Neodiprion lecontei: one gene and its partner. The protein of the gene in region 2 purifies or fractionates together with the protein of the main gene of each other region. This does not show direct contact. Links are inferred from orthologs where the notes say so. Each region holds a gene or a part of one and is shown on either strand. Other genes may lie near its edges.

Region 1 (8,056 bases), on a different chromosome or scaffold from region 2:
AAAATATTTATTGCCAGTTTGATCTGAACCGTACTGTTGTTCTATATGCTAATAATTGATTGCCGAAAATGATAAACTGATGAATTTTACGGTCCACTGGTTGAGTAAATTGAAGAGATTGTAAAAAGTCTGTTAATCAAATAATCAAAATAATGTGGCAATATTTATTACTATTATTGACATGGTACCAGATTTTCACGACAGACGAGTCAAGTTTTTTTACACACAATAATTGGACTGTGTAAAAATAACGTATATTTTAGAGTTTTTCGACGTCTCCAATTATCAGACATTTTCTTATTAGTCTGTATGGTTGTGAGAACAAAGCACCACTTGAGTCTCATGAGAGCCTTTAAATACAAGGTGAACGAGTAGTCTGATTATTACGGAAAGCTCCAGTTATTGTTCTGTATGGGTGATAAAAGTAAGCATTCTGCACGCACATGCAACTTTTCGAAGGAACTACTAATGATATATACATCCTTTAAATCACTTCCAAAATATTGCGATAAAAGCAAATCCAAGGTGCTAATTCAAATCAGGTGTAATAGTATCATAACTCATAACTACTATACAACTATTCTAGGCGGCATAACGTGTACATCTTGTCTACGTGGTAGATAAAATATTTGTTCTTTTCACCCGATTAAACAGCATCAGGAAACATTCTTACCTATATAGATTAAAATCTAAATTATTCTGCATAAACATTTGTTAAGTGTCCAATTGAAGTAACCCTTCTTATACCAGATGTTTTTGTTCTTAGCGACCTTTTTTACCTTGTAAACACATTCGAATTGTTTTCTATTAGTAAGGCTATCAACGTTGCATTTTGAATAATAAATACCATGCAAACACTGAAATATAAACATACCTATATGAATCATTTTTTACCCTAAGATTCTATTACACGAACTCATAATGTCTCTATGGTAATGCGTTTTTGTGCTCGGAGCTATATACCTATGATCATTCTTTAAAGGCTTACATATTATAGTTAACTTATGAAGCTATTACACCGTCTTCATCAACGTTAACAATAATGTATGAAGGGAATATTAATTTTACTTGACTAAATAAAAAATGACTGAAGAAAACAACTACGGAAACATTACGAAAATTGGCGAAAAAATACATATGCCACAGCCTGAAATGTTATGTGATTTTTTGCAAGGTATATCTCATAATTAATAGGCAAAATTATACTTATATTACGCTCTATCTGAATATCAACGATTCGACTAATTGTTACGAATACGACTTTACTTCAAGCGCCTGGAAATTAATGACCTTGTACAAAATATTGGAACTTTGTGGCATGATCTATGTATCGGAATATTTGTCTGATGATAAATACGTTCCTTTATTCACAAGCAGATAAGAAATAGGTATTAAAAGTTTTACGAAAAAAAATCTTCGTAAAGTGATAACTCCAATAGGAAATTCAAGCAGATAAATTCTACCATATCAAATTGTATCCATCCTATTTCTAAAACTATCTGATAGATTCTATCAAAGTATATAATTAATAACTCTGTAGAGCTTATCGTTAAGCCTGCTCTCCGTGACTGAAATTCTCTTGTAACAATGATAAGCTATAAATTTTGGCCAAAATAAACGTCAAAAATTTGTAGAAAATATCTACAACTTAATTAGGGTATATACAGTTAGCAAAACATCGATATTACGCAATGTTTAAGCTAGATAGGCACTGATTATTGTACAAAAATATTTTTCAATTGAAATGGTTATCGTATGATCTAATCTTTCTTAACCGTAATTTCAAAAAATAAATACCTAAAGCTCTTCGAAAAATGCGACTCGAGCTTTGGTAGATCCAGACTTCACTTTTTTCAGCGTACTGTATTTATTTTCACCAAGTCGCACCTGTTCCTCGTGTAGCTGGTCCAGCTCACACTGCTTTTCACCAACCTTCATTACCTCAATTTCAGATCGTAATTCACGTAATTGTTCTTGAAGATGCTTGCTTTTCTCCCAATAATCCACCCGTTCTTTTTCTATTTCAAGGGACAATTGATCGACATCTCCATCGGCAATAAGATCATATGACGTAAGGTCCGCTGGAAGAGGTTCTGCGTCCAATTGCAACGTCTGAAGATCGGCCTGTAGTTCAGATGGTAATACTTGTGTTGACGGGAATAAATTTGGTACAGGCTAAAGTAAATAGAAAAGAATTCGTTATTTACTAGTAGTGAAAATGTAATATGTGCAAATTTTCAGCCATTTGCTACTGTTTGAAGGCTGAAAGTGGATCAGACTATATTAAACTATTGCATGCATAGTGTATCTTAGAAAAAAAATTCAATAGAATGAATGTAAACTTACAGTGATAGATGCGTTGTAAGCATTTCTGCTCAAAAATTCCAGCAACTTTTCCTTAGCCTCTTTTTCAGCAATTCGAGCACGTAGCAGTTCATCTTTCAGTTTTTCGGCTTCAGCTGCTCGTCGTTCCGATTCTTGAACTAATCTCTCTGTAAGAAGCTCAGCTTCACGAGTTTTTCTCTCTAGGTGAACTTTTTCTTCCTCCGTTTTCATATTATTAAGTCGTATACGAGTTATCTCTTGTTCTGCTTCCGTTGCCTTTTGGCTTAAAAGCATAGCTTCTTCCTCAGCAACGCGACTCTTCTCTGCTAACAGATCTGCTGTCTCTTCAGATCTTCTCTGTAATAAGAAGTATGGTGAGACAAGTAATTTGTTGCCATTACCACTTGTTGTTAACAGAATAGGTAATTGGCTAACAAATCTTTAACACCCAAAAAAATGTTACCAATGCTTCGTTGGCAAGTCTTATTTCTTCTTGATACTGTAACAACCGTTGTTCCATTGCTGCCTTTTCTCTTTCTGCAGCTTCTCTTAACTGTTTTTCCCGGGCCAGTTTGTTTCTTTCGATCTGCCTCCTACATGTAAAATAATTCGTATCAATATGAAAAACAACGACACTCTGGGACAACATTAGTACAAACAAAGAACACAATATACCAATTGTGTTAGAAAACCTGTTAGGAAATAGAACACACGTGTTAAGTGTTATGCAGAAGCACTGATTAGATCATTCCTTAAACAAATACTTTTGTACTATTTTGTTGAATACATGCCACATGTGTTTTTATCTTTTTCCTAATTACTGCTGCGCAATATAATGTTGCAAATGTATTTGAGGTCAAGGTTAAATGACTGAATCAAACAAATGCAAGTTCGAGATTTACAGGTTCTGCTCCATGGATCAATAACTAGACGAATTTTCCTCTTTCAAAATAAAATATATAAATATTATAATAAGTTCTTTATGGTATATGTTAAAATATTCAGAACGGAACACAGTTTGAAAAACATCAAGAGTTATGATGCAGAAATGACCGTTGTTATATTTGTGAGCTGAAAATAAGCTTTCCAGGTACATGACAAATTGTACCAACTAATATGTGAAATAAAAATAATTGTGTGCTAAGAAATACAATTCTGAAAAGTATTAATTTAGGAATGATGCAAAAGCTAATGGTACATACAAAAGTCTCGATAATCTTATGCTTACCTAGATTTCTCTTCCTTGGCCTGTGCTTTCATTTGCTGTACCTCCATTGAGTCTGGTTTACGGCGACGCATGAAGAGGTCGTGGTTGCCAATGCACAAGTCCAGAATCTTAACAAATAAGAACCGTGCGGCTTTTTCACTACAATGCTCGTCGACCCCTATAGCTACCAAGCCCTTCACCCAGCTGCCAACATGTGACTGTTTTTTTACCAGTTTGTTCATGCGAACTTTCTGCGAGAAGAAGACAAAGTTCGGTGACGACTTCTCTACAGGTTTGATTACAAACTTCTTGTCATCGAAGCTGATATGCCGGATCTCTGACCAAGTGAAAGTTGTCTTAGGTGCCAGCTTATTCTCCTTCTCATAGATGTTCAACCCAAGTGCTGTAACACCGAGCCACAAGTCCGTTTCCTTCTTGTTCTAAAATGAAGAGAAAAGTGCTGTTATTTGCCACATATAAAAGGTGTCAAATTTTTTTTTATGATCACTACAAATCGAACATGTAGATGGACTGAAGGATGCTTGAAGAGACTTAGGCTATAGAGTTTATCTGTTGCCGCTTTGTAGTTGATTTGCCAATGGTCCATGAATTTGAAGAAGTAGAGTTATGCACTTGCCCAATTTATCAAACATACAATATTTTCTGTCTTTGAGAATACGTCGGTAAGTATTAAATGAATTATATCTTTCATACTTACGCTAATAGGAAAATAGTTGACGCCATACATATCCAGATCTTGGGCAATCTTTAGATATTCCATTTCAGCCTCGTCACGAGACATTCCACGGTGATCAGCGTACCAAATCTTGATTCTATCTTCCCACATTTCAGGAGTCATTTGATATTGGTCAATCACTCGTTGTGGCAGAAGATCTTCGCTAGCCAGCATTCCTGGCCGGTATGATACCTCGTCGTAATCACCATACTAGGTTTAATATAATAACACCCACAGGTATTCATTATCAATATAGTGATGATACATTTTGACATCTCCTCGACAGATTTTACTCAATATTTTTACACTCTGGACTTCTTCAGCAGTTTTAAAGGTGCTTTGTAAGCGAGGCAATCTCAAAGTGAGAAAACCTGATATACGAACCAGATAGTAATAAACTGTGAACAACACGTTACTAAAAATCACACTAGTTAACAATAAAAATTTCGATTACCTTCGCTTGCACGGCATACGACGCAAGTAGTACAGAGGCTTCAGGTGGACAGTAAATATCCATAGACAAAATGGCTTGCTTCACTTGCAAAAAGAACAAGTGTTGCGTTACCTCTTGAACAAGTTCCTCAGCCACATCTTCAGGGTAGAATTTTGCGAGAAACATAAACGGCGTCGTTGGTTGTTGTGAAATTCCTTGGTCCTGGACTAGAAATTTATACATAGATGAAGTGCCAAGTTTTTAACTTGTGTTAATTGAAGGATAGAAAGCACAGAAACATTACCTACTTGCACATCCACCATACCTATTTTTTTTTCGTTAATCTTTTTTTTATCACGTGACATAATATTGATTAGCATGAGTGATCGATTGTTTTGTATTTGTACTAAAATTCAAATGCATAGATATTTGACCGCAGTCAGAAGAACTAAGCAAAACGCTTAAATCCCATAGTAACTGCATGGACTAAAAATTATTGACAGTTCTATGGAGAAAGGCTCCTACCAGTGGTTTCATCGAAAATATGTTAACTACACCTGCTCTGGAAGTTTGGTGCAATGCCAGAACATATTTTGTGCTCTTGGTTTTGACACAGGTGTAAGAAGAATATAACTATTGAGCCTTTTCTCGAAAATTCGTAAACGCACCCAAATTCTAATAGCTTTAATATAAGTTTAGATCAATCAAGGAATTGAGCACTGAGCTTTGCTTAAATTACAAAATAACAAGATTACAAATCTTCCTAAAATCACTGTTATCATCTTATATTATCTCTTGGGATCTAATAACAGAATTTGCAGTGCATAGTCTCTTGTGTTAGGTATAATAAACCTGCTAGGCAGGAAATTGAAAAAAAAATAAGACTTCACTTTCTTTCAATAGCAGGAAGTAGGTGTGTAGGCAGTTCTTTTGGTAGCGTTGAATAAAATTGCGAATTAAAAGGATAAATAGAGGAAAGAATGAGGGAGATACCTTTCTTGTCCAACTTGAGCCAAGAAATAAATCCTTTGGCATCCTCATACTGAAGTCCAAAATACCAGGTCTCTCTGAGACCAATAGTTCGGCACACTAAATCAAATAAGTCTCTCCCAGTGGCTCGCCACTAAGAAAGGGAGAATTTTACAATGAAAAACATTCGAATGACATGGAGGATAGGAATCATTACGTAACACATTGTTCGTATAATTTGGGAACAATGTTTTGCAACAATAGATTCCAGAAGCTAACCTCCAAATTGAACTCAAGCTCGGCGTCCAAAGTGCAGACTTTCACCGGAAACGATTTCCCCGATTTTTTCCTACGAAACGGTGGCATTTTATCCTTCATTTTATTTATTTGACATCACGATTATTACATTTTTTTTCTTCACCATATCACTTATTTATTTATAAGGAATATACGTCGACCCACTCGCAAGAGAAAACATTATGTATTTTTTTCTCCGTCTTCTCTCACTCACTTTGACACGAGAGTAGCTACATCTGACACAGGCAATTGGAACCACCCACGAACGACCATTCTCTCACACTGACCTTAGCTGTCGGCTGCTATCGGTTGTTACGTATACAAATTTCCCTCGAATTAATCTCAGAGGTCAGATATTCACTTCAGTAACACAAAATTGTACCCAAAAGCCTTGCTACTACCTCTAGAAATTGGCCCAATTTTTTAAGTATATATTTTCCGGAAATGCAACAATCTTCGCCAAAGTATGAGAAGTTATTAAATTCGAGGTTAACAAATGCAAATATGTTTTAAAACAGATTTTCTCCGTAGTCCGCTTATATACCGAATCGGTATTTATCTGCATTAAAAATCGAATCTTATCCAATTTAATTCCATTGCTATTTTAGCCAAAAGTTTCGTAAATAAGCATAATAAATTTGCAGAAAATTCATAATCACAAAGCGGTTGACAGCTCGCGTTTTGATGGATTTAATTGACGCGTCTCTGTAAATTCATTCTAACCAAAATTGATCCGTAACCTGTGACAAATATTAAAGTTTTCGATGGTCAAGTTGGAACAATTCAAATACATACTGGAACTAAGAGATGATTTTGAACATTGATAAAAAGCCGCGTATTTCAATGATTTCAGGTACAAAATTCAACATGGTGGTCAAGTGAACGGAGTTGTTAACCTTGAACTCTTTGAACTCTATCAGGTCAAAAATCAACATAACATAGCCAATTGCTTTCATGTATATTTTATGAATGAAAATAGTAGCGTCATTACGGAGCGTGTTATGGTTTATTATTAGACAACAATAGTTATGGCTGAAAAAGGAGCGTATTTAACGGATACAGTCAAGGCTAAACCCTCGATTTTTGAAATTGTTGCGCAAGAATCTTTAGCCTCTACACTCGAGCCAGTCTTCAAAAAAATCATCTCGGTACGTCGCAGGCTCGTTTTTTTCATTATTATTATCCTGTAATTTGTTACATAGTGAATCTTATACACAGTATTTCAGTATTTGGTGTTGGTCAATCCACATCGATATGGATGGCTTGAAAGATGGTGCGATGAGGCGTATCTGGTTTTTAATGCCGCTCTACAATATCACTATCTCAAAAAATATTGTAAATATATTGAGCAATTTTTTTTACGTTTCTAACTAATTTCTCCAAATATTCGTCAGCCTAATCAAATCCATATTTATTTCAGCGGCATCATTCTCCGAAACATTTTATGGGTTGAAACGTTCTTCAGTCGTGGCAGGTTCAGATGGAAAGTTATCTACTAAGCAAGAGAAAATTTCTTTATTGCTGTTAGTCGTCTTTCCGCACTTCAGAACCAAATTATTTAGGCTTGCGGAAGAATATAAATTGGAAGTTGCTGATGGTAAAATACCTCAGAAGGTACGTGAATTCGAAAAGCTATTTATATAATTTATAAGCTTTGAATATGCTTTTTGTTGTCATCAACAGTACAAACACTTTAATTTGTTCCACATTATTTAAATAACTAATTTTTTTCAGCGATGGCAGAAACTTGTAAGGAAATTGGTAATAAATGGAAACATGATATTTCATGTTATTTATGAATGCCTAATACTCTATCGGTACCTGAGGTACATGGCTGGACGGTCAGAATATTCAACTCCGCTTCTTTGGCTGGCTTCTGTTACATTGTCTTACGCAGATGGTAAAAAATTCCTCACCATCACTGACCTTCTCATGAAGATAAGACTCGGAACATTGACCTTCAGTAATGGCATAGATTTGTTTGGAATGCTTTTTACTAGATCACTTGAATTTGGAGCTTTCTTTCTCCAGTTTCTTCGATGGTGGAATCAAGAAAATTATTACGTAAACCTGATGGCTCTGCCTACAC
Region 2 (4,998 bases):
TAATTATAATGTAGTACGTTATTAATATACCGTCGTGTCTAGCTAACCGGCTAATTTCTTTCTTCCGAAATGAATTATACATGCATCGTGTATACGCGGGTAATGAAATTGAACGAAATAAAAAGAACGTTGAATAATAAACGGTACGCGTATAAATATACAGAGAAGACGAGAAAAATGATTGTACAAAAGTTTTTTGTAATACAAATTATTGAAAATATTAATCACACAGAGGATCATATGTGTAATGATGTACAAAAATTATGGCGATTCATTTTTATACATATAATAATACCGTATAGCATGTATTGCACAAAGAAATATTGCAAAATACTTGAAATTTGTTTAGAGTTAAATAACGATCGAATAAAGAATAAAATTCGTTATTTGTTGTATTTTTTATTAGAATCGAACGCGTTTTCCAATATTATAATTTAAAAATGCGCTTTGTATAGGGATAAAAAACGTGTCACAGTTGTTGAAAAGCCGCGGTGACATTTATCCAAGGCAAATTTTTTGTTTTAATTATAACGTCTATAGGTAGAATAATTTACTACGCAGACGTAAAGTCGGGGGATCTCGTGCGCAGCACATTTGTCTTGATCTGTCCTCAGAATAATTGTACACGATCATCACTTCAAACTGCGACACGCCAATCTCGAGAACAACTTTAATCTACATCAGCAGAAGCGGCATAAGCAGAGGGTTATTTAAGAATGCATCCAATATATAATGTATATGTGTATACATAACCTCTATACAAGAATTTGCATAGACAGAGCTATCTGCATATTATAAGCTCAGAGCTTGACAATAATATTTCTCCATCGTTGACGTCTAATTGTAAATCGTCCTTTAATAATCCACATGCTTGTTACATAGGTGTGTAATGCAATACGAACGATCGATCTAATCATGTCAACCATCAAGATCTGATAATTCTGCACTCAACGATCCGCGTTGTTCCGTACGCAATTACTAGTAACGTTACTGCAACGATGCGTGTTCAGAAAAAAATCGCTACTTCGCCACTTTGGGATTGTCCGAAATTTAGTAAACCATAAAAGAACGAAACATGCTCACGTTTTGTAAAGCCAACTCCTCGAGAGTCGTCCTAAAATTGCACAATAACAAGTTTTTTCTCTTATATTTCTTTATACGTTGACTTTACTAACTTCAGATTCGTTTAGGTTTGCCCTTCGGCATCGTCGATACGATACATATGTAAAATATCGTATTGCAACGAAAAAGCGAGAATTTCGTATCATTCAATTCGAGCCTCGTTGATATAATTCGAATGTTTTTCTCGACTCATTGCCGGATGTATTCGAGTCAAGGCGAAGTTCGGTTTAGAATTAAAATCTGTACATACATCCATGCTGTTACAGTATGATTTAAGTATGATCTACGGTCGAAAAATTTCGGGGAACAGCTGTAAACGGCGCGGCATGCGGAGTGAGACCACGTGGCCTTGAACGTCAAGTGGAGAGAGAGAGAGAGATATATAGATAGAGATAGAGATAAAGATAGAGAAGTAGAAGGAAAGATGATGAAAAGATGCAAAACGAGGAAAAATCCGTCTAGAAAAATTTACAACACCAGTTCGAAACGTTACGTACACGCGTATACGTGAGACATATTAGTCGTCAAGATTAATGTAGAAATTGATCAACTTTACACAAAAAAATTAAAATAAAATAAAATAAAAAAAATAAAAGTAAAAAAGAAGGAAAGAAATAAAAATTTCTCACCGTGCCAAGATTCGAATGGATCGAAATCGAGCAGCCATTCGAACGTTATACAAGTCCTACAGTGACGTGTAATAAGCGTGTATCCGAACATTGAAAAGAGGAGTGAAATTAAAGCGAGGCGCTGCTAATAATGTCGAAAATCGAGCATAGAATCGAAACGGCAATAGACGAGAGAAAGAACGGAGAAAGAACGAAAAGAGGATACTTCATTCGGATTCGCCGCGTTACAATCGGGCGTTGTAAGTGCGGCCCTGTTGCATGGAATGCGGGCGCGGCGCGCGTGTGTGAACGGAGCGGAGCGAGGTAACGTACGCAACCAACACAAGCAAAGACGCACGCCTCGGAACGACGACGACGACGAAGCCGAGAAGCGACAAGGAGAACATCAGCATCGCCGACAAGCGGCGCGGCGGCAAAAGTAGCAGCAGAAGTAGGAAGAAGATAGTCGGACACGCGGAGGCCGATTCGTCGTTGTTTTTGTGATAGATAGACGGACGGATGTACGGATAGATAGATGGATGGATAAATGGACGAAAGAGAAACGAAAGGGGAGAGAGAGAGAGAGAGAGAGGGAGGAGGGAAGAGGAATGAAAAGAGGAAAAAACGCGAGGCGGGCTGCTGCATGGTAGGTAATATACACAAACGAACGTACCTGTCTCTCGGGTCGATCCAAGTCGTCTTCCTCGTGTTATGATCGATGAAATATACCTTCCCGTCGAAGTCTCTGGCGACATCCCAGCCGTCCGGAAGCGGTATCTCCCCATTTCTTCTCCTTGGCATATTTCACTTAGCTCTAAATCCATCCAAAGGTATCACCAACTGGTATCACACACACGTAAAACACTAGCTACTCGCCCGCCGCCATCTTGAATACCTCATTATCATGAGCGGGAGTGACGTCACACCGCCCCGAACGACCAATCCCGGCACCGTTCAGACGCCTCGCGAACGGTATGCGAGTATTGACATAGTAGTCGTCGTCCTCCTCCTCGTCGAGACGACCCCCGGTATCGAAACTCTTTATTTATTCATTCGCACAGCATTACCCGCTCGATTATGCGTTCAACGATTAGGTTCACCCTTCGTCTGATCATCACTCCTAAGCATCTCCCTCTCTATCTCTGTCTTGCTCTAGCTTTCTCAGTTATTGCTGTAAAAAAAATTTCACCGCTAGTACGTTTCTATTTGAAAGAAGTAAACTTGTTTTTGCTTTTTATTATACTATACGTGTTTAAGTATACCGGTAAAAGGCCACCACTGCACACACTCCGTATTCAACACTATTCGGCACTGTCACTTTTTTTTTTTGCTTTCTTATTTATGCATTTTTTTTTTTAAATTCAAACGAACAACTTCACCCAACACTTTCGGACACTAGTATTTTTCTTCGTTACTCTCTTTCTTTATTCGTTTGTTTATGTTATTATCATCAATATCGAATGTGTTGAACGTTCAACCCCCCGCCCCCCTCCCCCCCACCCCCCCACCGTCGAAAACACGAGGAATCTTTCCGACGATCTTTCCACCCTATCTCGGCGATTTTATTATGCACATGCTTCGTAATACTGTTTAGAATAGAACGGATAAAAACCTCTTTACTCTGTGGTCGTAATTACGATTTTAATCCCCGTCGATTCCCTGCCTCCCTCCATGACGTAGAAGATTGATCGTTGACGGGGTGACAATAGTTTGGTTTTAAACATGTAAGGATCGTGTGTAACTTGATATCGGTCCAAGTGCAAAACGCTTCGAATAGAGCGAAAAACCCAAAAAAAAAAACAAAAAAAAAACAACAAACAAACAACAACCGATTCGACGATAGGAGTTTGATATTGATAACAGAAGAAAACAATCGCCGAACGTTAGTTTCGATAATAGGAGGTGAAAAAAAGTGAGTACCGGCTCAAAAGCAAGATGTACCCGGTCTTGCTATCTCTTAGCTCTTGCTACCTAGGAGCATGTTCGGAGTTTGAGACATGCCTGATACCTTCGGCTCATGCGGCCGCTCTCCGCGCTTTGGAATCCGTCCCCACCACGCGATGCGTTCTCGTGTCTCTGACCGCTGCGCACGAATCTCAGCGGAGAAAGCCGAACACCGGCGTTGCCCTTTACGCGAGAAATTCGAATATTTTCAGATACGATTTGTACGGCGCCACCGTACGATAAGAGAATTTCATGACAGGTGCAACTCTCGGCGCAACTCTCACCCTACTACGCGGCTGAGAAGCCAAATACGCCACACATGCCTCGGAATTGTTCCGTCACACGACGATCGCTGCGCCCTCTGCGCGCCGATTCTACAACCTGCCGAGGAATGCTAACACGTTTGTCGTTTTTTTTCGTTATTTTTTTTTTCCTTCGTTCTACGTTTGTTTTCTTCGTTTTTTCTCATTTTTATACCCCTCGCTCGCTGCTGTCTTACGCAGGGACGAATAAACCCGCCCGCTATTACTAGCTGACGCCGTCATCACAGCGACGTGTGTCCGCCGTTTTTTTATTTTTATTTTTATTTATTCATTTTTTTTTTTTTTTTTATCTGTACTTTATTCCAACTCATTTCGCCTCCGTGTATAATTTAATACGGAATTCGAGTTTCATCGACGAATATATACAAGGAATTATCTCTTCCCACGTTCAAATACTCGTATTCATTGCCTTGGGTATTTTTGATTCTGTGGATAATTTTTAAGATGGAATCTTAGTCGGCAATCGGTCGATGAGTCAGTTTGCTATATTCTGTCGTGAGATGCAATTCCAGATGGTCTGCAGCACCTGTTGACGATTCGTGAATATATGCACAAATTCAAATGCACCGTGCAGGATCCTCGATATTTGAAACGAGGGCGAGCATTCGGGTGCCTGTAGATTTCGTAGAGCATTAATTATGCTGTACGAAAGCCAAGGAAAAGGCTGAAATTCTCGAGTAGATTGATTTTCTACAAAATCGTTCGACCGTGATCACATGATTTTGCTGTCCAATAGAAGCCGCGCGTAAATTAAATTCACCTTGTCGTTTCGTCCTGTACAACACATAACTCATTTCATTCACATGCAATATGAAGGTGAGCGCATATAAAATGGTTGAGCATACGAACCACGCATAAACTGTGAAGCCTGACGGATCCACGGCCAAGGGCCACGCGCCTAGAGGCAGTCTTGGGAAAGATATTTCTCAAATGAATATTGCATGTGTAGTGTTGCTATATCTATAGAATACAGATCCCGGTTCTACATACACAGTGTCTAA

Evidence for each region.
Region 1: the proteins of protein kibra (region 2) and merlin purify together in Drosophila melanogaster (affinity purification with western blotting; 3 studies listed by BioGRID). This does not show direct contact. The link is inferred for Neodiprion lecontei from reciprocal best matches to the Drosophila melanogaster genes kibra and Mer.

The regions. Positions count from the first base shown.
Region 1 is NC_060262.1:33,686,255-33,694,310, forward strand, and holds the start of merlin, read right to left. Parts: upstream 6,210-8,056; 5' UTR 6,049-6,209; coding exon 5,950-6,048; intron 5,825-5,949; coding exon 5,695-5,824; intron 4,929-5,694; coding exon 4,723-4,928; intron 4,479-4,722; coding exon 4,251-4,478; intron 3,973-4,250; coding exon 3,554-3,972; intron 2,919-3,553; coding exon 2,789-2,918; intron 2,683-2,788; coding exon 2,347-2,682; intron 2,176-2,346; coding exon 1,798-2,175; 3' UTR 1-1,797. Other genes in the region: peroxisome assembly protein 12, read left to right, coding at 6,996-7,115, 7,194-7,302, 7,388-7,581, 7,702-8,056. UniProt on the Drosophila melanogaster protein: Regulator of the Hippo/SWH (Sav/Wts/Hpo) signaling pathway, a signaling pathway that plays a pivotal role in organ size control and tumor suppression by restricting proliferation and promoting apoptosis.
Region 2 is NC_060265.1:8,749,030-8,754,027, reverse strand, and holds the start of protein kibra, read right to left. Parts: upstream 3,215-4,998; 5' UTR 2,626-3,214; exon of another isoform or gene 2,545-2,625; 5' UTR 2,532-2,544; coding exon 2,404-2,531; intron 1-2,403. UniProt on the Drosophila melanogaster protein: Regulator of the Hippo/SWH (Sav/Wts/Hpo) signaling pathway, a signaling pathway that plays a pivotal role in organ size control and tumor suppression by restricting proliferation and promoting apoptosis.